Linked DNA regions of Alligator mississippiensis. The protein of the gene in region 1 purifies or fractionates together with the protein of each later gene. This does not show direct contact. Links are inferred from orthologs where the notes say so. Each region holds a gene or a part of one and is shown in the gene's direction. Other genes may lie near its edges.

Region 1 (7,323 bases):
GAAGAAAAGAGCTCTAAGAGCTAGGTATTACTGTTAAATCCCTCGCCTGAAAATCAGATAGCAGAGGGACAGGATTCTGGAGATTTTTCTTTGATCCTTGTGACCATTTACATTGATCTGACCTGAAGAATTCATTATGCATGTTGCTGCAGAGGCATATGTAAGAGTTCTTAGGTTAGGGATTTTGTTAAGCTTAATTTATAGCTCATTAACCAGGTAAACTACTATATTACTCTTAATAATTCAGGGATCAACAATTAGTGCTGAATAATAATAACCAGAGAATCATCAGTATATTAACACCAACTTAATGGTTTCTGTCCCTGTGCCTGACTTTGACCTATCTTATACGTGTCTACAAATGGTTTATCACTGGGATTCCCATACTTTTTCCTATCTAACTGTCCAAATATTTGTAACTTTCCCTGAGCATTTTCACTATAACAAGGTTATAGATAGGGATCTACTTAATATGTGGTTTGGCAGTTTTTGTGGAAACTGAAAAAAATGACATTGTCCACAATCGCCAGGAAATACTGCGTTGGCCGTGATTTCCCACAAATTAAACTTAACACCCCCCCCCGGCATATTATTCATGTAATACGCTGTTTTAGAATGTCCCAATGCTTACCACAATACAACGACAATGCAACAATCACTGCAGCCATGGATCATGATTGAGTTACTATTTGCTAGTGAGATAGATGAAGTGAAGGCGCCAGTCAGTGAAGTGAAGCTGTTTCTAGTAAGGTAACATTAATTAGTATTCTAAACTTTTTGTAGAACGCTACATATAATAAATCATGATGATATAAGTTACAATTTATATTGTATGTAAAATTTATATTTACAATATATTTAAATGTGTATTTAAATGTAATATTTAGATTTATAAAAATATGATAAATTCTATGATATAATTTACCTTCCACAGAATCGGCTATTAAATTATACAGTATCTACCTCTCTGCCAATCACTGGTGAGGGGTGGAGCCACTGGAAGATGTCTGTGAAATCAGCTCTTCATGCTATGATCAAGCCACAAAAATTGCTTTGTCTCACTGCAAGTAGACCCCTAGTTATAGAGGAAGATGAAAAAATGAATGAACTGAGCTGCATTCGATCAGGAGGGAAACTTGGACACTGAAGGACAATAAATGCACATTTTTTTAAATTCTACTCTGAATTGCAATTCATCATTAATTTGCATTTCTCTCCAGTGTTGATTATGAGATTAGCACTTTCCACTGCTAATAAAATACACTGTACAGAAAGCAAGCATAGCTGGGTTTGTTGTTAACATTTGTAGCAGAGTTGTACTTTGGGAAATAAAGAATTCCAGCTCATGGCATTTGTATCACCCCGCTCTTCTTTCAGTATGACTGTCCATCTGATAAGAAGCACTCGATCCACGTGCCCCCATAGGGTGACAATAATACGTGCTCATTTTCTAGAAAGGAAGAGAGGGATCATATAATTAGGGAGCTGGGCTTCTCTTTATTGTAAAAATATGGAAAATTTTCCTCCTTTAAATCTCTATCAATTACGCTATCTGACACCTCTTCCCCCGCACAGCTCCTTTGGGGGTTGGCAACCTGCAGTTTAGGAAAAGCGGCTCTATTGATATTTATGTTCTCTGCACCATATTGCCAACCCGGTGCACTCCATGAGACAACCCCCCTGCTCCCCCTTGTTCCCAACATCATGCTATTTCTCTGTAATTGATGGTGGGGGTTTGCTTTGTGATTTAAGTTCCAGGGGAAGGCCACTTGCCTCCAAAGCATGAGTGTAAATGACTCAATCCTTAGACTTAAAACACACAGTAGGAAAAAGTATCTTCCCCATCTACTCTACTTTTTCATCATACCCCAAGGAGTCCAGTCCTTTCCACTCTCCCTGCAGTTTCCATCCTGTTCCAAAATCTGCTCTGACCCTCGCTGTCTTCTTCTTTTCCCCGCATCACCCTGGCCCCAGCTCTGCTCCCCCTCTTCTTCCGTTGACCCCTTTCACTGGGGCTCCATGCGCTTCACAGTCCTTGTGTCCCAAGAGCGCTCTGTAAACAGAGTGGCCATCATTTTCCTTGCAGGCATGGCCTCACTCTCATGGGAAAGCAAGAACCAGCCGCCACCCTGGGCATAGCTTCTAGGAAAACAGTGGCCATCTCCTCTGCTTCCCTCCCTGACAGAAGCAGGAGATGACTGCCATTTGGAGTAGGGGACAACTCACCCGTTGGTATCCTTCGTATTTCCTTAAGACCCTTTTTTTGACTTAAGGCACCCCTTGGAAAATGCCAACCCTTCATTTTCATTTTTTTTTCTCTACAGAAAAATACTAGAGTGATTCTTCTGTTGCAAAGAGCTCGGAAAGACCGCAGCAGGGCAGAATGCTTTTAACACTATGGAGTCCTACATGAAATCTCTGCGTTTATCTTGCGAGTCATGTTTGCACACCCAACAGTGTGGTGCCCCATGGCACGCTTGAAAGGATCTCAAGGCACCCCAAAGGATGAGGCTGAAGTTGGTTGCTTATTCCCCATTCCTTATTCCCAGTTCCTTTTTTAAAGCGAATCTGTACCCAATACAAGCTTATTGTTAATGAATTACACATCCTAAAGAGAGAGAATTTAATGAGTAACCAACTTCAGCCTCATGGCTATGGGGCACTGCTAGTCGGCAGCGGCGCATGCACAAACTGTGCTTTGGGCTGGGCAAGACCCTGGCCACAGATGTCCAGAAGAGTCCCCCGGAGCCACAGAAACAGGGAGTGGGGTGGCCCAAAAAAGGATTTCCAATCATAATCTCAGCCCAAGCGCCAGGTCCTTATTCAAGCTGTTATACTTAGCCTGGGGGCTGTCAGTTGGCAGCCTGGCACGGCCAAACCGTAGGGTGGCCATCATCATTGGCGATGCGTAAGGGGTGCATGTGCATCCCCTGAGATTGGCAGTGCACCCCCTGCAAAAATGTCTATGAATCTATCGAATGTCTATGAAATCTATGGGGGCTGGACGTGATGACCCTCCGGGGTCCCTTCCAGCCTGAATGTCTATATGAAAAAGTGTCGTCAACATTGCCATCGAGCTCACCTTGCCCCCCCAGCCTCCGGGGGCACGTGGCATTCATGGCCGTCGTAGAGGACATTTCTGTTTTCTGCTATTGACACGAAACTCGACGCCTGTATGTCCTCTAGTTTTCTCTTCACCATGTGGGGTGGCCTCCTTTTTGGGCCACCCCACACCATGTCTCCCCACACCACGTCTCCGTGGCTTGCTTTCTGTACACCGTACAGGCAGTCCTCGGACTTGCAACACAATTGGTTCCTGTAAACCGTGTCTTAACATCGAAATGTTGCAACTCGGAACCAATCTTCTCATAAGAAACAATGTTATAAATGGGGGGTTGGTTCCTGAACCAAGGCCCGATACCCTGTTTTCACCAAAAATACCCCAGATTTTTGTACTTGATCAACTATAGATGAGTAATATAGCTACATGAATGTATTTATATTGTAAATAGCGATCACATTGATTTGGAAGGACTTCTTTGAGGTGACGTTTTGAAGGGCTCTCGGCTGGACTTTTTGAAGGACTCCTGGCTGGAGTCTTCTCAGACGTCCCGGCTGCAGGGTTTTCTGGCTTTCTTCGTCTGCTTTCTTAAAGAAAGCATCCCAGGAAGCGTGGACAGGTGTTCTCCAGGGAGACGCAGCCAACTTGTTGCATCAGATGAAACATCGTAAAGTTGAAACCGGGCGTCCATTTAAGTGCAAAACATTGTCAGGCGAGGACAGCCTGCATTTCATTTTTCTCTTCAAGAGACAAACTGAGGACATCGAGACGGCGGGTCTCGTATCCACAGAGGACAACCGGACCATCCTCCATGCCGTGCTTCGGGCTGGGCAGGACTCTTTGGGACGGGAAGCGTGGGGCAGGCGGAGAAGTCTTTGCCCCATCATCCCGTCTGCATCCGTCCCTCATGTAGGGCTCCGTACTTGAGGCCGGACATTATTTTCCACAGGAATTCGTCTATACGCCTAGCTAACGACATCCTCCCTCTTCAGGAGGTGCCATTCACGCTTTTAGTGGGTCCAGATGGTGTTGGAAAGAAGGACCCGCGGATGCACAACCGCAGGCCCGCAGGGCAATAGCAGCCTCCCCTCGCTGACAGGACGCGGCGCCGCCATTTTGAGCCGGGCACAACTCGCCCCTCGCTTCCACTTCTTTGTGGTTGTTTTGTTGTTTGTTTCTCCGTAGGAAAAATACCAGCGCCGCTGTCCCGAGGCGGCGAGTCCCGGCGCCGGAGCCGCAGCTCCGCCCCGGGCCTGGCCCGGCCCGCCCCGGCCGCCATGTCAGCCCCCCCCACGCCGGGCAGCGGGTGGAGCCGGCGCCATGCAGCGCGCTGAGAAGGTGGTGCAGCTGCGGGGGCCGCCGGGCCGGGCGGTGCGCGTCGTGCGGGAGCACTACCTGCGCCCCGACGTGCCCTGCCGCAGCGCCCTGTGCCGGGCCGCCTGCGCCCGCGGTGAGGGGGCGGCGCGCGGGGCCGGGCCGGGGCACCGTTAGGCCTCGGGGTGGTCTGTGGTGACGGGTGCCGCGCCACCGCCCCGTGGCGTTGGCAGCACGCGTGAAGCGCGTTGGCGACGCGGAGGGGTGCACACACGTGCAGGTGGACCCCGAGTGTGGGGGGGAAAGGTGCCGGCAGCCTATGCGGGTGGTCCAGGATCACGACACTGGCAGCGTCCGCGGGTGGTCCGCGATCGTGACACAGCTGGCAGCGTCTGTGGGCAGTCCGTGATCGCCAACACCGCCGGCAGCACCACCACCGACACCAAAGGGAAACCTGCCCCCGTGGTCCGTCAAAGTTGTTATATAACAACGGCGGAAAAAACGGTTATTTTCCTGTAGTCCAACAAAAGGTGAAAATGAAGAGCGGGCGGTTTCGGCGAGGTCCCAGCCCGTCCAGCGGAAGTCTGAAAGGGTCAGGCCCCGCTGCCATAGACGAAGCGTTTTGGCCACGGGGAAAAAAACCGGTTATTTTTCTGTAGTCAAGTAAAAAAAAAAGTGAAAATGAAGAGCGGGCGGTTTCGGAGGGGCCTCCAGCCTGTCCAGCAGAACAGGCCGCGCTGTCGCAGGTGAAGCGTTTTGGGAGGTGCTGTGAAACAACACAAACGCAGCAGCAGGAAATGTTCGGAGGGCCAAGAGAAGCGAGTGCGTAACAAAATGCCCTTCCGAAACAGGCTCTGCTGGTGTCGTGTGCCGCGCGTAACGCCTGCAGAGCCTCCGAGGCCTGAAGAAGGGCCTTTGTGCTGGAAAGCTTGCAAAGAACATTTTTCCACCTCTTTATATTGCACCTACCCAAAGACCCTTGTCTGCCCACGTCCTTAGACTGACACGGCGACAGCCAACAACCCTGCTTCCAAACCAGAAACGCGCACAAATAACCGAGGGCAGGGTTTAAAAAGAAAAAAACAGGAAAAGGAGAGACTTGGAAAGGGAAGGCGGTTGTTGCGAGGCTTTCCTGTAAATGGCTTGTGTGCATATAGGGACCACAATACGTTGTTAAAGGACTTTCTGAGTGTTATGTGGCAAGCCACTACATACTACACCCTGTTTAAAAGGATTTTTTTTTTTTTAAATATAAATTTTGGCAAGATTGTATCACGAGTTAAATCCTATAGATATCCATTAAGTATACTTGTAACGTGGCTGAGTGGTTAACATTGAAACTTTTTTGAATCTGCAGGAGCAGCAGTTTTTGTTCAGTAATTAAATTTAATTATCCGTATTATACCTGACAATCTTAGATGTGGGAAGACTGCCAGCTCCTGTGATTTCTAGTTTGATGTTGTTTTGTATAGCACAGTGCTATGATGTACACAATAGATTATCTTCAGTTGACCTTTTTTTAGTGTTTTTGTGTGTGGGGTGGGGGTTAATCCACTAATTTCTTTGCAGCAACATATTAACAATACTAGGTGATTAACATAGCAGATACAACAGGTTCAGGACAAAAAGAATAATGATTTTTCAGTTGAGTTTCTCACCCTGCCTATAAAAAGTGTTTTCTAAATTGTTTGCCTAGATCCACTACATTTCGGAACAAACCTCTTTTTTATATTTTTGGCCAGCTAATGAGATGGAGGCTCAGTAGATGCATATTTGTTGCCTAACATGTTGGGCAAGGTTATGCTTAGCATTCCCTGGGAAGCCTGGTGGCTGTAGAGATGTATGAGCAACTGCTTATGGACCCCCAGAGATTAAGAGTCACATTACAGTCTCAAAACCAAATGCTGTCCTCTCTCATGTCTGATTCCCTTCCTCCTGACTTCAGCGTAAATTGTGCTATAGATCAATGTCAGTATGTGCCTGTATGTAATTGTTCTAGGTAATTCAGGAGGAAGGCAGACATTTGTTTTTGTTCCTGACTCAACATGCTGTGCTGAGCAAACATATTTCATGCACTAGGAGAGCTTGTCTGCATAAATCATGCATACAGATATTTTTAAATGGCATCCTGTGCCTACTCAGAAGTTAGTGTAATCTAGGTCTGGATGTTAGGTAAGGATGGCTTAACATGCACAGCCTATATAAACCTTGAAGTGACATTTCACTTTTCAGAGAATTTGCCTTCCAATCTGTTGCTGAAAGATTAGCTTTATTATATCTCTTCGGCCATCAGTTTTAATACCGAGTTCAACGGTAGTTGTTGCCATGTCACTGTAAGCAGGACTGGCCTCAGTGACTAAATAACTTACAAGGATCACTGTTAACAAGACACATTGCATTGAATTGGTTCCTAGGAAACCTATGAAAGTCACTTAACTTGTCAAGATATGTATAGCATAAATATAATCCACCTAGACTGCTGTGCGTGTAATGATTAAATGCTAATAATGGCATTAGGAACAAATGGATACAGAGGAAAAACATAGCTGAGACCCAAAGAAAAAGCTGCTTATGCTGAGGTTACTTGGAATGCCAATAAAATTAAAACAATTCATGCTTGGGTACATTTTCTGATTTCTGCTCTGTTTTTTCCAACATTTTAGATGGTTAAGTCCAGCCGAATACATGTGACACCTTCCTTTAGGATGAATTAGATTTGAAAACTTTCCCATTTTGGCAAAGTGTTTTTTTTCCAAATGTGTATGCTTATGTGCATGTTATTAATATGGGGAAAGGGCTCTAGGCAAGCCTGCCAGCAGCAAGTGGGTTATTGGCTGGTAACAACATCTGTGGGAGCAATTCCTGGAAAGAATACGCCCCATTGCATAAATCCATAGGAGATTTTGTGTCAAATCTTTTTTTCAATTTTTTTCCACAATAGCAGAGAA
Region 2 (6,333 bases), on another chromosome or scaffold:
ATCACGGGCTGCCTGTCCTCGTGGCTATAGGTGGTCATGGCGTAGCCCACAACGCCGCCAGCCGGGCCAGACAGGATGGCACGGGAGCCGCTGAACTGGTCCATGGGAGTCAGGCCCCCGTCGGAGCGCATGAAGAGAACTGGGACGTCCTGTTGGGGCAGCCAGGGAGCAGCTGGGGTCGGGGAGCTGCGGGGGTGCCCCAGCACGGGGGGGCAGGAGTCTATAGCAGGTGCCGGGTCATGTGGAACAGGGCCAAGGAGCACAGAATGGGGCAGACTGGTCCAGCCACATAGGAAGGCAAGGGCGAGGAGCGCTGTGCAGCTCTGAGGTGCTGTGGTGAGCTGTACTCACCTGGAGCTGCCGGACAAAGCCGGCGCGGAAGCTGTGGAGGTAGCGCTGGATGCAGGGAGTGAGGTAGGCGTCGGCACAGGCTGTGTATCCGCGAGGCACCACTCGCACCATGGGCATTACCTCCGAGGATAGTGACACGTGCTGGAAGCCCAGCTCCTGGGCCAGCACACCCACCTGCTGCTCGTGGGCTGGGCACCTGCCAGAGGCAGCAGGGAGGTGGGCAAGGCAGCCCCAGCACCCATCCTGCTGCCATGGAGAGGCATGCAGGTCGGGGCACAGGCACGGCCCTAGCTCCCTGTGCTCCTTCCCAAACTGTCGCTGCCCACCCCAAGTGCCCACGCCGCAGGGACTCACGCATAGGAGTGTAGCAGCACCACAGCCAGGCTCTGGATGCCCCGAGCCAGCAGCCCCTGTAGCTCCGTCCGCAATTTGGCCAGGTCCAGGGGCTGCTGCACCACCAGGACATCCCCCGTGGAGCCTGGAGTGGGCAGGAGCCAGGTCAGAGGGGCCCATTCGTACACCAAAGACTGCCTTCCCCAACACCCTTGCCTTGGCCCAGCCTGCCTGCTCCCACCCAAACCAACCCTGGGGACCCACCTTGGAGGCGCTGACTCGTGTCAGCCCCGGGGAGCCGGCAGTCGGCACGGTGCGGGATCAAGCGCTCATCCACCTCGATCACCTCTTCGTACAGCACCTCGGGCACCGTCACCGCCTGGGCACGACATGGGGGCAGGACAGGACACGGTCACTGCCCACCCCAGCACAGCTCACTGACCAGCCATGCACAGAGGGCTGCCCCCCAACACTGCCCTGCTGGCCCCTCCACTAGGGCCTGCCCCCCTCCCAGCTGCCAGGGCCCAAGCCCAGGCTGGGGTCCCCTGCTCTCACCCAGTGCCAGGACCAGCCTGGGGTGCTCACTCCCCCCAGACATACAATCCCCACCATCTTGTGAGCTCTCCTGTTTCAGGGTAATTTGGGGGTGGCTCCCCCCACATTCCCCAGCTTCTGGACTGAGACTGTCAGCTCAGCCGCTGACAGGCCAGAGTCACTGCACCAGCATGAGCCCTGGGAACGGCTGTGGGACTTGCCAAGGCCGTGCAGGACGTCTGAGGCACAGCCTGACACCGACCCGCCGGGCTCAGCTCTCAGGCTGCAGGCTCTGAGGCCACCACCACACTGGGCTCTCTCAGGGTGACCCCTGCCCCCCAAACCCTCTGCAGTGTCTTGCTTTGGGCTACTGCCCCCCACAGCACAAGCCCAGATCACGAGAGCACCAGGTCCAGCTACGTCCCAGGGACCAAGGGAATGACCAACCCCACTCGCCGGCCCCATCAGACTCCAGGGAGTCCAGCAGCGCAGCATCTGCAGAGGGTCTGGAGACAAAGGGCTTGGGGGGAGACTCCAGCTCCTTCCCAGGGCACTAGGGGAGGGGGAAGAGGCTCAGGCAGGGCATCCAGAAGCCCCAGGGAGCGAGAGGGAGGTGGAAACCCTCAGGGCAGAGCCTGGCCAGGACAAAGCAGCTGCAGCCACGTGGCCGTGTCACCGGCCAAGTGCAAATAAAGGGAGGCAGGCACAGGGGCCCCGGGATTAGCAGTGGAATCCGGTGCCAGCTCCTTCCCGGCACCAACCCCTCCGAGGCCGGTTCCCAAGGGCGTTTGCTCCGGCTGAGCGCGCAGGGGCCAGCCTGCGGCTCCTGCTCCCCACGGGGCGAGGCCAGTGCCCTAGGGATTCACGTGCCGGGTCCACGAGGGCGCCCAGACGGCTGCGACACCTCGCACTTGAGCTATGAGCCGTGGCACAAAGGCAGGGCCATGCCTGCCCCCCCCTGCTCCTACCCCACCTGCCTGCCCAGGAATGGGGCTCGGGGAGGGGGGACAGGGCCTCCACGGGGGATTCAAACCGACGCTGCGCCATGCGCCGATTCCAGAGGCACCTGCAGTCCCGCGCGAGGCCACGGAAGCTGCAACAGACCCACAGGGAGCCCGGGGGCAGGGGGAGCAGTCACAAGAACACCAGAGCTGCCCCAGCCTGGGGCAGACCCAGTCCATCCTGCCTGTCTCCTGTGTCCCACGGGGCAGGGAGCGGAGCTGGACGGAGAGCGACCGGAGCTGAGCAGGGTTTTCCCCCGTTCCTCTCCCTGCAGCCCCCAGCACTGAGCTCCAGGCAGGGCGATGCAGAGACCGTGCCCCTCGCTCCCTGCCCCAGAGCCACCCATCGATGCCCCTTTCCTCCACGCACGTGTCCGAGCCCTGGTGAGCGTGGCTGAAGTCTTGGCTCCCACCACCCCTGGGGCCACGAGCCCCCCATTTAATGCTGCGCTGGGAGGGGAAAGACCTCCCTGAGCTGGTGTTAAACCTCCGCCTGCTCAGCCCACGCGTGACCCTCACTCCTGTCGGGGACGGAGACGGTCCCTGGGATTTGTTACTGACTTCCCTCTTCCCCGCTGAGCGCGTCGTAAATCCTGCTCCTGCCCCCCCTGGCGTCTCTTCTCCAGACTGCCAGACCTGGCCTCGTGACTCTCCTCCTAGGGAAGCTCGTCCGAGCCCCTCAGCATCCTTCCCCAGGTCTCCTACCTCCGTATGCAGGTGCGGGCCGCGGCATGGTGCCGCCGGTGCGGCTGGGACTCACCAGGTCGAAGATGCAGGGCCGGGCCTGGTTGCCGATGTGCAGCAGGTCACGGAAGCCCCTGGTGATGAGCAGGGCGATGCGCTCGCCCTTGCGCTCCAGCAGCGCGTTGGTGGCCACGGTCGTGCCCATGCGGATCCACTCGATGCGCGACGTGTCCAGGGGCTGGTCTCGTGGGAAGGGCACGCCGCACTCCTGCGTGGGGGGAGGAGGGGAGCAAATCACGGCCACGCCAGTCCCCGCAGCCCCCCGCTTTCACAGCGCCTGGTGCCCGCGGGCAAACTCGCTCCTGCCCCCGCGGGAGCCATCAGCGCCAGCACCTCGGCCCTGATGCTGCAGATGGGGAAACTGAGGCACGGACAGGAGGGAGCAGGTCGCGCCCCAAGGAGCTGCACCAACACCTTCCCGGGGGCCGGACCCCTGGGGCCGCAGCAGCGCAAGGAGATGGGACACCTGGACGAGGATGCGGAGCGGCCGCAGGAGCAGGGACGGGGGGTCGCGGGGAGGCACGAGCTGAGCCTGTTGTCTCTGGGGCTCACGCCCGTCCCGACAGCGAGCGTGGCAGAGAGCACCACGCCCCCCCCACGGCGCAGGGGCTGCAGCAACTCGCCCCGTCAGGGGAGCAGCTGCGCGGGGGCCGCCCCGCCCTGCCCTGCCCTGCCCTGCCCCGGGCTGGACGAGACCCCCGGGGACCCTGCCCCCCCGCCCCGCCCCGCCCCGCCAAAGCCCGTCGCACACGGGGGGGGGGGGCAACACTCCGCAGCCTCCGAGCGCCCGGCTTGCACGCACGGGGGGGGGGGGACCGTTGTGGCACGGCTGCCCCCGGGTCCTGTCTGCTGCTCCCGCCCGCCGCTCCGCGCCGCGCCGCGCCGCCCACCTCCTGCAGCAGGCGGCGGATGCCCTCGGTGGGCGCGTCGCGGTAGCGGCCCGGGTCCTGCGAGAGCAGCTTGAGGGCGCGGACGCGGCCGGCGGGGCCCCGGGCCAGCACGTCGGTGAAGGTGCCGCCGCGGTCGATGGCGAACTGGAACCCGGCGGCGCGCGGCGCGGACATGGCGAGCACCGCCCGCACCGTCCCGGTCCCCACAGCGCCCGGCCCCGCGCCTCGCGCCGGGGGCGGGGCCTGCGCGGGGGGCGGGGCCTGCGAAGGGGGCGCGGCCGCCACACGTGCAGCCGCCGCGGGGCACGCCGGGAGCGTCCCTCCTTCCCGCTCAACGCCGCGCGCGCGAGGCAGGCCGGGAGGCGTAGTGCGCGGGGGCGGCGCGGGGCAGGCCGGGAAGCGTAGTGCGCGGGGCGGCGCGGGGCAGGCCGGGAAGCGTAGTGCGCGGGGCAGGCCGGGCCGATGGCGGGGCTGGAGCTGCTGTCGGAGCAGGGCTTCCGCGCGGACGGGCGGCGCGCCGGGGAGCTGCGCAAGCTGCGCGCCCGCATGGGCGTCTTCGCGCGGGCCGACGGCTCGGCCTACATCGAGCAGGGCAACACCAAGGCGCTCGCCGTGGTCTACGGCCCGCACGAGGTGGGCCCCCCCGACCCCCCGGGGGTCCTGTCCCATCACACCCCCCACGGCGGGGAGGTCCCAGGGGTCCTGCCCCCCATCAGACCCTCTCCTGGGGCGGGGAGGGGCCCCAGGGGTCCTGCCCCCTCCCTTGCCCCCCCAGGGTGATGCTCCTGGTTAGCCTGAGGGGTGGGAGGCACTAGGGCCAGGCCATCCAGGGGCTTTACTGGGAGCGCCCCCCCCCCCCCCATGCAGCAGCCCCTGCATCTCTGTGCACCCAACCACGGGCGGCCTTCCCCCCACCCCTGGGCAGAGCTTGGGGGGGTCCGGCCCGTGACCCCGTCGTCCCCGCAGATGCGCGGCTCCCGCAGCAAAGCGCTGCACGACCGGGCGCTGGTGAACTGCCAGTACAGCATGGCCACCTTCAGCACGGGCGAGCGCAAGCGCCGGCCCCACGGCGACCGCAAGTCCAGCGAGATGACGCTGCACCTCAAGCAGACCTTCGAGGCCGCCATCCTCACCCAGCTCTACCCCCGCTCGCAGATCGACATCTACGTGCAGGTGTGCGCGGGCGCGGGATGGGAGGTTTCCCGGCGGGGGGCCGGGCTCTGCGCCGTGCAGCCGGGCCCACCCACTGTGCTCTCCCCCCCCAGATCCTGCAGGCAGACGGCGGGAACTACTGCGCCTGCGTGAACGCGGCCACGCTGGCCGTCATCGACGCCGGCATCCCCATGCAGGACTACGTGTGCGCCAGCTCGGCCGGCTTCGTGGAGGACACGGCCCTGGCCGACCTCAACTACGTGGAGGAGGCGGCCGGGGGCCCGCAGGTGGCCCTGGCCCTGCTGCCCAAGTCGGACCAGATCGCGCTGCTGGAGATGAACGCGCGGCTCCACGAGGACCACCTGGAGTGCGTCCTGGACGCCGCCACCGCGGCCTGCCGGGCCGTGCACGCAGTGCTGGACCAGGTGGTGCGCGACCACGTGCGGGAAGTCGCCACGCTGCTGGGGGAGTGAGCGCCCGGGGGGGGGGCACTGACCTGCCTCCAGGCCTGTGGGGGTTGACTGCTGCCTCCTGGGCACGGGCCCTTCCCTCAGCCCCGGGGACGCTGGGCCAGCACTGGGATGTGTCCCCTCGCCGCGTGGAGACGGACCCCGGTGCCCCTCGCTGGGCGACGGGCACCACCGCTGCGCTCTGGCACGGCCTGCGTTTTGGGCCTTGGCGGGAGGTGCCTGCCTGCAGGGCCTGCACCCTGGGCGGGGGGCTACTGTGGCTCATGGGCCGTGCCGGGAGCCCAGGCCAGTCCCCTGGTAGGAGTGGGTGTTGTTTTGGACAAGCAGCTCTGAATAAAGTGTTATTTTGGTGCAACTTGTGGCTGTTTCTTCTTTCCTGTGCACGGCGGGGAAGGCTGGGGGGCCACAGGGAAATGGGGACACCCAGCCCGGGTGCTGCTGGTCCCTCTCGATCCGGCCTCGCTGTGCACGGCCTGGGCTGAGTGAGCACCTGCCTGGACCAGCCCGGCCGTGCCTGGGGGCTCCAGCATCACTCCTGAACCTGTCCCTAGAGCTGTGCCGCCTGCCCAGTGTGCAAGTGCAGGCCTCCCTGGCCTGGGGAGCATGGGGCTCTGAGGGTCCTGGGCGTGGAGGGGGACTCTCGCGCCCCGCAAGGCTGGGCTGGGGTCGCGGGGGGAGGCCCCGCAGTGCCCCGGGCGAGGGGAGCGGCTGGGAGCCGGGGAATGGGCGTGCATGATGTCATCCGGCCCGCGCAGCTCCCCCTGGTGGTGCGTGCAGCCCCCTGCCGGCAGCCGCGCGCATGCGCACTGCCGCGGGGGGGCGCGGGGCCGCTCGGCGCTCGACTGCTCGGTCTGCGGC
Region 3 (7,167 bases), on another chromosome or scaffold:
CCTTGGAGAGCAGGAGCAGCATGGCGCTGATGTGACAGGTGCTTCTCGGTGATTGATTCACCCCACATGTAGAGGCCACGTCATCAAGGCACAAGGAGGGGAGCGAGTGGCTCAGGCTCAGGGGTCCCTGGGGCTTCCAGGGCCGAGGGTGGCAACTGACCCCTGCGGCGTGTGCTTTGTCACGCAGAGGACTTCCACGCGGTGGACAGCGGGGCCAGCACGACGGGGCGCATGCGCTGTGTGATCTGCCACCGCGGCTTCAACTCCCGCAGCAACTTGCGCTCCCACATGCGCATCCACACGCTGGACAAGCCCTTCGTCTGCCGCTTCTGCAACCGGCGCTTCAGCCAGTCCTCCACCCTCCGCAACCACGTCCGCCTGCACACCGGCGAGCGCCCCTACAAATGCCAGGTCTGCCAAAGTGCCTACTCCCAGCTCGCCGGGCTCCGGGCCCACCAGAAGAGTGCCAGGCACCGGCCCCCCAATGCCTCCCTGCAGTCGCACTCCCCGGCCTTACCCGTGCCCCACCCGGCCTCCTTGGCCCATCACATACCCACCATGGTGCTGTGAGCCCCCGCTGATGGCCAGGTTTGGGGCAGCTCTTGCCAGCTGCCGGAGACTGGTACGGAGGGGTTGTCGATGAGCTGTTTGGCATCAGCCCTTGGGGGCAGGGCTGGCAGTGGGGAGAGCAGGGGCAGGGCGGGCGTGCTGGTGACGCTGCGTGCTGATGGAGGGGCCCCTCCCTTGAAGCATTGCTCTTTTCGTGTGGCTTCCGTGTGATGTGTCACTGGGACAAAATCACCCCAGCCCCTTGGTCCCATCAGCACGTCTCCTCTCACTGGTCTCTCCTGGGCAGAGGGAGCTAAGTCTCCGGACAAGGAGGAGGCTTGGGGGCTCTCTTTGTTGCCCATTAGGCAGCGAGTGGCACAGAGGAGTGTGGCAGGGTTAATATGTTGAGGACTGAGACTTGGAGCAGAAGTGGGTGGGTAGAGTCAAAAGGCAGGTTTCTGGGTTCCCCACCCCCCTCCAGGTTTTGAATTCATGCAGTGGGAGGAAGGGAAGAAAAATTCCCATTTCCTTTCCTTCCCCTCCACTCAAGACAATGCTAACAGGAGGCCCCACTCCCATCGCCCGAGCTGGCACGGTTCTGCTGGGGTTCTTGCAGCCGTACCTGCTTCAACACGTGATAGCTTTGGCCTTAACGCTGTGCCCACACTGGAGAACCCCAGTTCCAGCATGAGCAATGCTGGGCAGCTTCCTTTCCACCGAGGCTCTGCAGCGAGGACTGATTTGTGCCTCCTGCCAGGCAAGCTAGAACGTCCCCCTGCCAGGTCAGCGCCGCCGGGGATGCTCTGCTGTGTCTGGGGGGTGGGAAACCTTCCCAGAGACTTCAACCCAGCCTCCAGAATCATGCCCCCAGCTTTTCCAGTCAACTCTGCACATGTGAAATCAGGCAGACGGTGCCCAGGGCTGAGGGTCTGCCCAGGCAGGTGCAGCGCCAGTCCCTTGGTAAAAGATTTGCCCAGCAGTGCTCTCAGGAAATGCAACGCCTGTGTTTTGCCAAGAGCACTGGTGCAGCTCCCACATGGGATGTTTTCGGGTGGAGGCACCTCCAGCGGGCACGGCTCCCCTTGCCCAGGGTGCAAGCCCTTCATCTGCACACACACGCCTGGTCTTGCTTCTCCTTCAGCTCCTCAGCTCTTCCCCACCCCTCCACGCTGGTCCTTCAGCAGACCCTTCTTTTCCTTAGGGACCATTGAAACTGTTCCCTCCACTGCCCTCTGGAGACCAGAGAGAAACCCATCCTTTGGGCAAGTCCCAACCCGAACGCAGTCTGAAGCGCCTCCTGGAGGCCTGCCGCAGTCACGAACCCAGGCAAAGAGGGGGATTTGTAAAATAACGTGGAAGAGAAGCTATTATAATATTAATTCTAAGTATGAGATGTATAGAGTTTTCACAAACTGTGTTTTACTTCCAGAAAACAACTGTCACTTTAACTTTGTACATATTTATGTAAAACATTATTTACAAAACTTTGATATTATATATTATTTGATTGTATATGTACACAGCTGTAAATACCTTTGTACCACGCTCTCTCTTGTATTCTAAATAAAAATTACTTGGAACATTTACCATTTAGATGGTGAATCGTTAGGCACTTTTCTTCCTTGCTGTATTTTAGGACAGCCTGATGCTGGCTTTGGCACAGGGAAGCGACGAGAAGGGGGTCCTTGGATTTTTCTCCTTTTTACTTCCTTTTGTCTTTTTTTTCCTTATTTCGCCTTTTTACTTCCTTTTCCCACTTTCCTTTTTCACTTCCTTTTTCTACTTTCTTTTATTGCCTTTTTATTTTTTCCTTTTTCTACCTTTCTTTTTCTCCTTTTTACTTCCTTTTTCCTTTTTTTACTTTCTTTTCTTGCCTTTTTACTTCCCTTTTCCTTTTTTTACCTTCCTTTTTCCTTTTTACTTCCCTTTTCCTTTTTTTACTTTCTTTTCTTGCCTTTTTACTTCCCTTTTCCTTTTTTTATCTTCCTTTTTCTCCTTTTTACTTCCTTTTTCCTTTTTTTTACTTTCTTTTCTTGCCTTATTTCCTTTTTCTTTTTTTCCTTTTTACTTCCTTTTTCCTTTTTTTCTTTCTTTTCTTGCCTTTTTACTTCCCTTTTCCTTTTTTTACCTTCCTTTTTCTCCTTTTTACTTCCCTTTTCCTTTTTTTACTTTCTTTTCTTGCCTTTTTACTTCCCTTTTCCTTTTTCTACCTTGCTTTTTACTCCCTTTTTACGTCCTTTATGCCTCTTCACTGTGTTGGAGTGAAGTGAACAAAAGTTCCCACCCGTGTATCCTTAGCTAGCAGAACAGCTTGCTAAGGGCAGGGGAGATTTGCTGCTGCTTGGGGGTCAAACCATTAAAACAGCTTGCTATGGGAAGCAGGAGATTTGCTGCTGCTTGGGGTCAAGCAAGATTGGATGCCTTCCTAAAAGACACCGTCAGCCACAAGGTGCAGCAGTCCCTTGAAGGCGAGCCCTTGCCCGTGCAATGCACGAGGTCAGACCTAATGATCAAAAATGCCGCTGACCCTGCTCTCTCTGACCCTACTGCACTGCACAGTTAAGACAAAGCACTGATCAGTCCTGACCTGCCGTTTGTCTAGGATGATCCTTGCATCTTGAAAGAGAGTGGTCTTTGGAATAGGAGGAAAATCATTTGCACACATGTACACCCCCCCAATGCTCACGTGTGCACCAGCACCTGTGCAAACGAAAGGCGTCAAGCCTCAGGTTTTCAGTCACAGCAAACAGGTCCTTAACACAGAAGTGCACTGGACGGCGCCCATTTCCCATTTCCTTCTGGCCAGCACTTGCCTTTACAACCACATGCCCATCGTTATAACACAGCGCAGGCCTGGCGAACGCTAGCGCAGGCTTGCGCAGAGCCTGTTGGCCCGGTGGGAGGATCTAGGCCAGGCTTTTTATGTCCGGAGCAGCTTAACCTTTTGGATCAGACATGCAGAGGGTGTTTCGGTGCCTCCTCAACCCGAGCGTTATGCAGCTGTGGTGCACGGTGCTCACCATCCGGCAGGCAGGACGATGCCTGCAGGCTCTCCCAAGGGACCCAGCCTCATGCAGGACAGCGTGAGAGCCCTGTCCCGTCGGGCGCACGAGGGCCGGATGCTTTCTTGCTTATTCATAGGCTCGTAGAGGAGTCGGGCCGGGAGCGACCTCCAGAGGCCACATCTAGTCCGAGCGCCTGCCTGAGGCCTGTCCGAACCGTCCTGCGCTGGAGGAGTAAATGCACTGGCTGGAGATGAGGACCAAGCAGGGCAATGGCAGCGGGCTGGGCGAGGGGCTGGCTCTTATGTGCTTGCCCCAGTTTTTTCCTGGTGGGATTGGACACTTTCCCTCCCTGCAAGGCTCTCCCCTTGCAAGGGGGAGCCTGAGCCAGCTTTGCCCCTGTGAGCCCCCTGCCCCTGGGGGCAAAGCTGGAGCATCTCTGTGACCTCCCCCGGGGAGCTCCCCACAGCCAGCACTGGGGGGCACCAGAGCTCTTCCAGCTCCTGCCAGCACTAAAGATGGACCCACCCTCTCGCCTTCCCTCAACACCCAACGCACTGAAGGCCGTTCCGCCCTCCTTGCCCGGATCCAACATGGCTTCCCTGCGCCCGCTCCGCCCTTCCCCAAGATGGCGACGCGGGGAGCCCGCACACGTGCTCTTGCCAGCAGTTGGCATGGCGGCGGGAAACCCGTGGAGCCCAAGGGGCCTGAAGCTGCCGCGCCGCCAGGAGTCGGAATGGCGGCTATGGAGGTCCGGCTGCCCGTGGCCCGCAAGCTGGTGGGCCAGGACTTGGCGCGGGGCAGCGGGAGGGACCTGGTGGCGCCGGGGGACACGATCACCACGGACACGGGCTACATGAGGTGGGGAGGGGCAGGCTTCCTAATGTCCTCTGGGGTATTTTTTTGGGGAGGGGGGGTGCATGGGATGGGGCCTCTGCTGCTGCCCTGGGGGGTACCTCGTGTCTGCTGTAACCCCAGGTCCTTTTCTGCAGAGCTGCTGCTTTGCCAGGTGGCCCCCAGCTCGCACCAGTGTGGGGGGGTCCCTGGGTTACCCCCTGCCCTACCACCTCCACCCCATTGCTCACGCGTGGGACCCCCTTGGCAGGGGTCCACCCCAGCCTGCTTCATGTTGGAGTGGGGGGAGCCTTCCTGGCCCCCTGCGTCACCTGCTCTCTCCTCGGCAGGGGCCACGGCACCTACATGGGCGAGGAGAAGCTGGTGGCGTCCGTGGCGGGTGCGGTGGAGCGAGTGAACAAGCTGATCTGTGTCAAAGCCCTGAAAACCAGGTGAGCGCCGTCGGTCGAGGACGCACGAGGTGTTGGCTGGACCCACCCGGAGCCCGGGTATCGCTGTGGGGTGGGACGGGTCTCCCCCTTCCCCCTGAAGGGTGCTGGAGGTGGGGGTGGGATGGGTCTCTGCGTGCGCCCTGCAGCGGAAACCGGTAGGGCGAAGGTTGCTAAACTGGATGCGATCACGTTTGCCAGCTACATCCAACTACCATAACCAGAGAGGTGATTTCATAGGTTTCTAGGGTTGGAAGGGACCTGTTAGCTCATCGAGTCCGATCCCCTGCTCTGGGCAGGAAGAAGCGCTGGGGTCAAGTGACCCCAGCCAGGTGCTTGTCTACTCTCCTTTTAAACGCCTCCAAGGTAGGGGAAGCACCACCTCCCTGGGAAGCCCATTCCATATTTTGGCAACCCTCACCGTAAAGATTTTTTCCCTGATGTCCAACCTAAATCTGCTCCTTTACGGTTTGTGGCCGTTGTTTCTGGTAACCCCGAGGGGCGCCCTGGTAAACACAGCATCCCCTATTCCCTGCCGCCCCGCCCCCCCGATGAGCTTATAGACAGCCACAAGATCACCTCTCAGCCTTCTCTTGCGAGGCTGAGGAGATTCAGGTTCCTCAGTCTGTCTTTGTAGGATCTTACCTGCAGGCCCTCAGCCATATGAGTAGCCCTCCTCCGAACCCTTTCCAGATTATCTACATCCCTCTTGAAGTGCGGCACCCAAAACTGGACACAGTACTCGAGCTGTGGCCTCACCAATGCCGCATAGAAGGGACGTATCGCCTCCCTAGACCTGCTTGCACCTGCTCATGCAAGACAGTGCAGTTAGCCTTACTTATTACCTCGTCACATTGGCGACTCGTATTCATTTTTGTGTTGACTATGACTCCGAGATCCCTTTCCGTTGCTGTGATACTTAGAATGGTACTTCCCAGTCTGGAGGCGTATTGGTGATTCTTTCTCCCCAGGTGCAGCACTTTGCACTTATCTTTATTAAATTGCATCCTATTCTGATCCTCGTGATATCAGGCCCCACATTGCTTGTCACTGTTAAAACCTGGAGGGACCTCACGATTGTCCGCTCTGACCTCTCAGGTAGCAGAGCCCAGCAAATTTAATTCATTTACACCTCTGCTGAGCTCAGTTAAAACTTGCTGGAAAAAAGCCTCTGTATTGGGGCACTGTGCTAGAGTTGAAGCAGGTTGTGCTGTTGGGACCTGTGCTAGCTCAGCCCTGCTTGTGTTTAATTACCGTGGTAGTGATAAGGGGATCTGAATTGAGAGGGGTTTCTGCATCCAGTGTGAACAGTTTCCCTTTTTTCTTGCGCCCAGGTATAACGGTGAAGTTGGCGACATCGTGGTTGGGAGAATCACAGAGGTAAAGTGCCCAGAGGTTTCTAGTCATTGTTTTGTATGAATGACTTGATTTCTCTGATACACAATATTGTCCCAGTTACCCTTATCCTACATGTTATAAATCAGATGTGCTCCTGGGCACAACCCTAGCCAAGGGGGAAGATAACCACCAGACTGTCATTTGTGGCTGGGTGTCTGATCCAAGGTGCACCCAGCAACTTAAGCAATCAGATCTTTTACGGTCTGGCCATAAAGGCTGTGGAAGCTCAGCCCGTAGCTGTACTGGCATGGCCTAAACCCCTGAGTTTGGTTCCAGGTTGTGCTGCTGAGAGACCTTGAGCAAAGCATGACGCGTCATTGAAACCAGGACAGCACTGGCCTCCTTGGTTACTAGGAAGTTCTTAATATAACCAGTGATTTAAAAGCCAGAGATGACAAGTAGCTTTGGGTGCTACATCTGCTCCCCCAGGAATACTCTTTCTGGGGCGTAGGAGGTGGGTTTAGAGTGTACTGAGTTTAAGAGAATAGCCTTGAGACTGAAAAAGTCTTACCTGGAATTGTATTGGAGCTGATCAGTGCTCAGCAGCACACAGCAGCTCTCAGTGCCGTGGCATTAGCAGCCCTGAAACTGGCAGGCTCTTTTCATTTCCAAGTCTGATAGTTTCAGGACTGCTATTAAAAGCCTTGAAAAGGAGGGGCAACAGTAGCCACGAAACCAGCTATCTGCTTTATTTTCAAGGCTTAAAATAGCAGCCCTTTGACAGCAGCTTCCCTTCCTCTGTCTCTGGGGCAGTTAGAAAGCACAGGTAATTTACGAAGTAGGCAGTAGCGCTGAAAGGGTATTTAAGCACTTAGCTCTTACACTGATGATCAGTTTGTTACGCTGTAAATAGCATATTGGAACTGGCAGGGCGTTATGCCCTAACATGAATCAGGCACTCCCACCATAAGTGAAGGGCACTAGTTTTGTTCATG
Region 4 (7,373 bases), on another chromosome or scaffold:
AAGTCAAGTGCCTTTGATTTTAAAATGAATTTATTAGGATAATGTAGGGTAGCCTCCGGTTGTAGTGGACTGAAGCTGTAATCTCCTCTCTCTTTGCTTCCAGACACTGGCTACTGCCATTATCCCACAGTGGCAGAAGGATGAGCTGAGAGAGGCTCTCAAAGTTTTGAAGAAGGTCATGGATGACCTGGATCGTGCAAGCAAAGCAGATATTCAGAAACGGGTGAGCCCTCGGGATGAATGATTAGGGGCCAGGATAGCTCTGTAGTGAATCTTGCAGACATCAAAGCATGGGTTTTGCTTCCCACACCCAACCTAAATAAATAGGTGCTTCTCTTTGCTCCGCAGAGCTATCCTTTCTGTTTGAAATCTCTTTTAATCCTCTTCCCTTCCTACTACATCTCAGCAACTACATTGAGGTACCAACCCCACGATAGCAATAATGGTGTTTTTAATAGACCCACCAAAGTGCTGCTGAGCAAATAGACTGTCCTTCTGAAATTTGGCAGTTCTTTTGTTGGTTGGAAGAGTGAGTGATTTGTGTTTAGTGCTTGGATAGTGCTCCTGGCCCAAAATTGATACCTGCACACAGACTATGGCAAGATGTTTGTCAGATGCAGGTGAACGGGCTGGTTGCTGCTGTTCCTGACTCAAGTTGGTGACTATTGGGAAGGGGTACGCAGCAGTGCTGCCTCCTTTCAAATCTCACGTGCTGCATCATGTTCTTCCACACTTTGTTCCTGCTTTGGCAGCCTGGGCCTTCCCCTTTGGGTCCATATCAGCTGTACAGAATGGTCAGTGATCAGTGACTAGAAGTTGGTGCAGGTTAGCTGTTGCACCTCTTTCAGTTTGCCTGGTGAGCCCTTGTGTGCAAAAAACAGTTTTTGTGTCTGTTCACATCTGTCTGAACATCTGCTTGTTCTTCCAGGTGCTGGAGAAGACCAAGCAGTTCATTGACAGTCACCCTAACCAGCCACTTGTAATTCTGGAAATGGAGAGTGGCGCTTCAGCAAAGGTAACACAGCTAGTCCCAATACTCTCCATTCCCGTGTCTAGGACTCCCTGAGAAAGTTCAGAAACCTGCCTCTCCGTTTGTGGCCCCTGGAATGGAGGGGGGATTTTCACAGCCTCATGTATTACAGAGCCTGCTGTGCAGGTGCCCAACCATGGCCAGGGCTTTGAGATGGTCGTGGAGGGCATAATTAGTTCATGTTAGGTCTGTGCACTTTTTCTGCTGGCTTAACCAAAGCCACCTCCTACCCGGAAGTGTGCAACACCTCTGTTTGTCCCTCAGACTCTCTTCTTCACCATCTCAGATTCTAGTGTCTGGATCAGGATGGGGATCCCTGCTTCAAGTAAGGGCCACCCAAGTGGGTGGCTAGGAATTAGAAGATGAGGGAAAATGCAGGCTGAAAATGTTTCTAACAGTGGGGCCTGCAGGGTAGTTACCCAAGAAAAGCAATGAAGCTCTGTCAGCTGGGATATTGCAGAGAAATGCAGTGTATCTTGCACTGGCTCCCATACAGCAGCTAGGTAGAGCCTTGAATGAGTGCTAGAAAAGTGTTGTCCTCCAGCTCCCATTTCTTGGATTCTGCAACCCATCCAGCTGGGCTTGTCACAGACCAGTGCTGTCCCTACCCTTCTGTCTCGCATCATGAGCTGAATCTGTCTATTCTTGTCAAGGTGGAAGGGGGGGTTTCCTACCCCCTAGAGAAGCTTGTTGTGGGTAAACCCCCTTGTTTGCTGGTCCCAGCAGTGATGAGCTGCTGCCAGGCAACAATAGGAAATGAACAGTGTCAATTAATGATACTGTAGACTAACCATCAAGTTGTAATGCCCCAATTTAAATTTCTGCATGGGCAAACTCCCAGCTGATCCTGTTTTGTTTATAGGCTCCCACTCACCCTCTTACATGGTTCTCATCTCCATGGTATCTAAATGCTGTTCATGTCTGTGTGGGAGGGGAAAATTGCTATTTTGTTTTGGGGACCATTACTGCAGTTGGTACAGATGCTGCATCTTCAGTGTTCCCAGCAGCAGGCCCAGCAGCATCTCTGCATTGAGCTGTTGGCACATTCTTTGCGCAGTAGCCAATTGCCTGCACCTCTAAGGGATGACAGCAGCGCACAGCATGTGGATTGCAACAGTGGGCTGCGTGACCCCTGGGGACTGCAGCAGCCAGCTGTACAGGTGGAGCCGTGAATATGTCCCCTAAGAGGCATCATCAAATGACCTCTAATTAGCCTGTCTCAGGAGCTCTCTAAATACAGCAGGTCTTTCTATGTGAGATATGAAGTGTCAAATCTTTTGCAAATAGTGGGTGCCTGGCACTCAAGGACTTGCCTATACCTAGTCCATTAGTCTAGGTGTGCTGTGGGAAAGACTTTTGTATCCTTGTAGCATTTGCACTCTGACCTCCATCCCTGCTGACTCCAGCTGCTCTTAAGTAGAGAGTAGCAGCAGGCACAGCAGAGTTTCCAGGTCTCCCAGAATGGGTTGCCCTTTACCTCAGTCCAGCAGCCTGCTAAGGAAAGGCTCACACCACCTCTGTCCTAAGCTGCTGTCCCTTCCCCTTCCTAATGTATCACTTGCTTGCAGATCATTTTCACTTGCTTTATGGTTGCAGAGCCATACATTTGTTGGCCCCCAAACAACCCAAGATGGGAAACAAATCAGGCACTGAGCATTCTCCTGCTCCAGTCCTGCTGCTGGACAGGGAACATGAGTGAAGCTAGGGAGCCATGTCTCTATGTGACTTCAGAAGCTCAGATCTCCAGGCATTGAGTCTGGTGTGACCAGGCAAGCAAGCTGCTTCTGCTCTTCCTCTGATGCCAGCTCCACAGCCAGCCTCAAGAAGGGTACATGCAGCTTTACTGCACCCAACAGAAACCAAGCACTGCAGAGATGCAGACTGCTGCAAAAGCGAGGTACAGAAGATACTGACTCAGAATGCCTGCCTGGGAGTAGAGTGTGTTTGCTGATATCAGCAGGACTGTTGTAGCTATCTAGCAGCAAAGGAATCTGTGTAGGGATTTGCAGCATGTGTTGCCAGGCCAGCTGAAAGATGAATGATGCCGGCTGGTTCTTGGTGTAATTTTCTCTGTATCTCCTTCTACAGGCCTTGAATGAATCTCTGAAGCTATTCAAGACTCATTCTCCTCAGACTGCTGCCATGCTTTTCGCAGTAGATAATGAAGCTGGCAAGATCACCTGCTTATGCCAAGTACCTCAGGTAACACTTTTCCAGAGCCCTTTGGGTGTGTCTGCCCAAAGCATTTCAGGCTGAGCTTAAGAGCTCTTCCTAGCAGTAGGACCTGCAGATTTCCTGTACAGCTTATGCTCAGGCAGTCAGCAATGGGGCTTCCATGTGTCCTCTGTCTCTCATTATCACGTCTAACTGGGATACTGGTAGTAGTTGTTGCATTAGCGTAGCTGTGTCTCAGCTAAATTACATTTGGAGCCATACAAGAAAGCAAGTTAAGTACTGTACTGCCAAGGAGGTAGAGCTTTGTTCTTCCATCAGATACAGTTACTTGAAGTAGTGTTCATCTAGGCATCTTCCTCCAGCAGCAAATGCTGTTGTGTTGTAATAACCTAAACCCTGCCCTCTTCTTTTCCAGGAAGCAGCCAACAAGGGCCTGAAGGCCAACCAGTGGGTGCAGGAAGTGTCAACACTGATGGATGGCAAAGGTGGTGGGAAAGATGTCTCAGCCCAGGCAACAGGCAAAAATGTTGGGTGCCTGCAGGAGGTTCTGAAGCTGGCCACGGACTTTGCTGAGCTCTGCCTTGGCGAGCTGAAGAACTGATTCCATGTCCCTGTGCTGGCTCGTTGCACAGGTAAGAAGCGAATGCTGTCAGCTCTCTCCTTTTCTCATCAGCCTGGTCACCGGGCTCCCATTCACTCTAGCGACATCGCTGGAGACAAAGACGCTGCACATCATTCCTTCTGAATCCCCTCGCTGAGGCATTAACAAACTAAAAGAAGCATCATGGGTTAGAGATCTAAACAAGGAAGAGAGAGAGACAGGGGCTTAGAAGTTGTAATGCCAGCTCCAATCTTGTTGTATGTCTGGGAAGCCTGTTCCTTGTCTGTAAAGTGAGGATAATGCTGGCCTCTCTGCAAGGCCTGCAGTAAGGATTGCACTAGCAGTTTGTAAAGTCTTCAGAGCACTGTTATGATGTGCTAAATATTAGTAATAAATACTGTCAGCCACAGAACGCATCAAAGCCAAGAGTCTGCACACAAACTCCTGTCCCCTTGTAACCACTGGAGGCAGGAGCCCACCTCTGGAAAGTTGCTGGAATCAACCTGTCACCCAACTCCCTGACCTCTCTGTAGATAACATGGAAGCCCTTTACTCACTTTATTGACAACAGTAATAGTGTATTTAAATTAATGTGATGTAGGTGTACCTCACTGCCTTAGCTGAGCAGACCTACCTGTATGGGAACATGAGGAATAGGTTCAGTGTTAATAAAGGCCATCTGCAATGTGTGCCCTGTTAATTTGTCATTGAACCAGGCCAGGGTTTGCAGTTTTGTTAGGGTGGAAGAAGTGGGGGTGTGCTGGGAAGGCAGATGTTCAGTCTGTGGTTAGAGGGGGTTATGGCTTTGCCAAGAATGGGACTGTGCGCCCTGCGGCGCCGTGGGTCTAACAGGTGCTTCCCCTGGAGGGGCGCGGGGCCGCCCGTCGCTGCAGGGGAGCAGCGGGCGAGGGCGCAGGCCGGGGCCGGTCGGGCCCCGCTCCCCGCCATGCTCGCTCGCTCCGCGGGGCCAGGGTCGGGGCCGGGCTGGGGGCGGAGCGCCCTGAGCGCGGGGCCGGGCGCTGAGTGGCTGGAGCCGCGCTGGGGGCGGGGCGCGCAGGCCAGGCCCCGGCCGCGCTCCGGGCCTGCAGGGGGCGCTCCGTGTAGGCGGGTGAGCGGCTGGGCCTATCGGGATCGGGTGGCCGGGGCCATGCCGCTGGACCACCGGCGCGTGCCGGGCCCGGAGGAGTCGCAGTCGCCGCTGCTGTACGCGGCCGAGGAGCCGGAGCCGGAGGAGGCCGAGGAGGCGGCGGGGCCGGGCCGGGACCCGGCGGCGCCGCGGCCGCTGTTCGCGCGCGCGGGGCTGCTGAGCCAGGCCAAGGGCTCGGCCTACGTGGAGCTGCGCGGCGGCACCAAGGTGCTGTGCGCCGTGTACGGCCCGCGGGAGGCGGGCGGCGCGGAGCCGGCGGCGCGGGGGCGGCTGCTCTGCGACTTCCGCCGAGCGCCCTTCTCCCGGCGCGGCGCGCGCCTGCGGCCCGGCCCGGCGGCGGGCGGGCGAGACCGGGAGCTGGCGCTGGCGCTGCGCGAGGCGCTGGAGCCGGCCGTGCGCCTGGGCCGCTACCCGCGCGCGCAGCTGGAGGTGGCGGCGCTGCTGCTGCAGGACGGCGGCTCCGCGCTCGCCGCCGCCGTCAGTGCTGCCGCCCTGGCCCTGGCCGACGCGGGCGTGGAGATGCACGACCTGGTGGTGGCCTGCGCGCTCAGCCGGCCGCCCGCCCCCTCCGCCGCCGACCCGCCCGCCTGGCGCCTGCAGCCCAGCGAGCGCGAGGAGCGCGACGCCGCCGCCCGCCTCACCGTGGCGCTGCTGCCCGCCCTCGACCAGGTGTCGGCGCTGCTGGGCGGCGGCCAGGGCGGCGCGCCCGAGAGCTGGGCCCAGGCGGTGCGCCTCGGCCTCGACGGCTGCCGCCGCCTCTACCCGCTGCTGCGGCACTGCCTGCTCCGCGCCGCCCGCCGCCGGGCCCGCAGCGCCGCCGGGGGCGGGGGCAGCCACAGCCCGCCCGCAGCCACCGCCTGAGGGCGCACCCCGCGCCGGCGCCTGGAGCCCACGTCGGTGACGACGGGGACAGACCGTGCGGGAAGGCGCCGGCCCTGCGTGTTGCAGCCCGAGGCCCACCCGGTACCAGGACTTGGCACAGACCCCGCCTTCCCAGCCACCCCTGCCCGCACCGGACGCCATTCGTCTCGCAGCTGCCTGTGCCCCTGCATGGGTTTTCAAGCATGTTTGGCCCCGAATGGTTCCTGCCCCTCTTCATGCCTGTTGCAGTCCAGGAGATGCCCTGGAGAATGGCAGACTTTCTTTGCTGGTGTTTCCACTTGAAGTTCAAAGCGGCGCCATCTTTTTGTTGGTAGGAGTCCACTGCATTCAGTAGTCTGGTGCCAACTCGCATTCAACATGTGCTGTGGCTTCCCTGGTCTTAAATTTTAAAGGGAACTCTTTAGCTGGTTGCTGGAGAACAAGTAGTGCTGTCTGGTCAGCAGAAAATCTGTTTGGTTACATGATGTCAAATGTTTCTTTTCTACAATTTTTCTTGTAACTTTTGATTGGACCTTCGCTCTTCCCCAGACAATTGTATTTCTTTCCTGAAAATTGTGTTTTTGGCTCTGAAATTTGTGGAAGTCAAACTGGCGGACGCTACTGTGATTTTGCTCATTTTTTATAATCAAGGACTGACTGCTCTCCCTCTCTGGCTGCAGTTCTTGCTAGTATTGGTTCTTTGCTTATTAATTCCACATTGGCCATACCAATGAACAAGACAGCTCAGTTAATTATCCTTACAGGAATTATTAACAAGATCCTTTGTGTTGAATATGCTTTCATTGTGACCTTTTGGCCCTTGGACACATGTTAACGTGGAGCTGTGTTACTGATGGACTGGACTGGATGATGGTTTGGCTGTTGAGTTTAGACTTTGTAACTAAAACTTGAGCACCAGGTAGCACCGTATCTTGGCAAAATGCTGTTCATGAATAAGATATTTGTATGCCCCCACCCAAGAGAATGTATCCAGGTAATATCTTGAGAGAGATATTTTTTTAATATAATAAATTGTACTTTTTACTGTGAACTTTACCTCATTCTGGCTGTGATCTGTTTTTGAGTCTTAAGTCACCTGTTCCTATTCGGTAAGTCTTTTGGTGGGAATATTTCAGTGAAATCAAGGCCTTTGGAAAGTCCCTGATCACCAGCATTTCAGGCTAAAATGTCCTTCCTTACTCACACTTCTGGTGTAGTTCAGATGGCAGTTTGTGTCACTTCCCATTTATTTGCAGCCTTGAAGCACAGGGATCACTCTGTTTGGTTTGTATACTAACCTCTGCTTAGTGTTGTAGATACCTCTCTGCATTTGGATCTGGATTGAGAGCAACAAATTTCATCTTGGCTATGAAACGGCAGGTTTGAACAGCTTATGATTAGGGACCTACCTAATTCACAGTGGTTGCCTCCAAATTCACTGTCCCAGCAAGACATCGGGTGCCATTTTTGTGGTGGGGGGCACACCTCTGATTGGCTAAATGGCACTTGAAGTCCCACCCCTCCCCAAAAATTGATGGGTGGTCCCAAACGGGCTTGCT

The links. Proteins that work in one complex are often made in the same cells at the same time.
Region 2: the proteins of DIS3L (region 1) and EXOSC4 purify together in Homo sapiens (affinity purification with mass spectrometry; 5 studies listed by BioGRID and IntAct, with this or other methods). This does not show direct contact. The link is inferred for Alligator mississippiensis from reciprocal best matches to the Homo sapiens genes DIS3L and EXOSC4.
Region 3: the proteins of DIS3L (region 1) and EXOSC2 purify together in Homo sapiens (affinity purification with mass spectrometry; 5 studies listed by BioGRID and IntAct, with this or other methods). This does not show direct contact. The link is inferred for Alligator mississippiensis from reciprocal best matches to the Homo sapiens genes DIS3L and EXOSC2.
Region 4: the proteins of DIS3L (region 1) and EXOSC6 purify together in Homo sapiens (affinity purification with mass spectrometry; 3 studies listed by BioGRID and IntAct, with this or other methods). This does not show direct contact. The link is inferred for Alligator mississippiensis from reciprocal best matches to the Homo sapiens genes DIS3L and EXOSC6.

Annotation. Positions count from the first base shown.
Region 1 is NC_081834.1:5,034,350-5,041,672, reverse strand, and holds the start of DIS3L (DIS3-like exonuclease 1), read left to right. Parts: upstream 1-4,310; 5' UTR 4,311-4,381; coding exon 4,382-4,511; intron 4,512-7,323. UniProt on the Homo sapiens protein: Catalytic component of the RNA exosome complex which has 3'->5' exoribonuclease activity and participates in a multitude of cellular RNA processing and degradation events.
Region 2 is NC_081826.1:912,572-918,904, forward strand, and holds EXOSC4 (exosome complex component RRP41), read left to right. Parts: upstream 1-4,266; 5' UTR 4,267-4,315; coding exon 4,316-4,486; intron 4,487-4,819; coding exon 4,820-5,026; intron 5,027-5,118; coding exon 5,119-5,478; 3' UTR 5,479-5,830; downstream 5,831-6,333. Other genes in the region: OPLAH (5-oxoprolinase), read right to left, coding at 1-149, 352-547, 706-829, 949-1,063, 2,980-3,171, 3,854-4,027. UniProt on the Homo sapiens protein: Non-catalytic component of the RNA exosome complex which has 3'->5' exoribonuclease activity and participates in a multitude of cellular RNA processing and degradation events.
Region 3 is NC_081835.1:59,318,652-59,325,818, forward strand, and holds the start of EXOSC2 (exosome complex component RRP4), read left to right. Parts: upstream 1-4,164; 5' UTR 4,165-4,179; coding exon 4,180-4,412; intron 4,413-4,735; coding exon 4,736-4,837; intron 4,838-6,168; coding exon 6,169-6,214; intron 6,215-7,167. Other genes in the region: PRDM12 (PR domain zinc finger protein 12), read left to right, coding at 188-570. UniProt on the Homo sapiens protein: Non-catalytic component of the RNA exosome complex which has 3'->5' exoribonuclease activity and participates in a multitude of cellular RNA processing and degradation events.
Region 4 is NC_081833.1:34,962,381-34,969,753, reverse strand, and holds EXOSC6 (exosome complex component MTR3), read left to right. Parts: upstream 1-4,837; 5' UTR 4,838-4,953; coding exon 4,954-5,814; 3' UTR 5,815-6,870; downstream 6,871-7,373. Other genes in the region: AARS1 (alanine--tRNA ligase, cytoplasmic), read left to right, coding at 104-223, 929-1,015, 3,119-3,232, 3,621-3,806. UniProt on the Homo sapiens protein: Non-catalytic component of the RNA exosome complex which has 3'->5' exoribonuclease activity and participates in a multitude of cellular RNA processing and degradation events.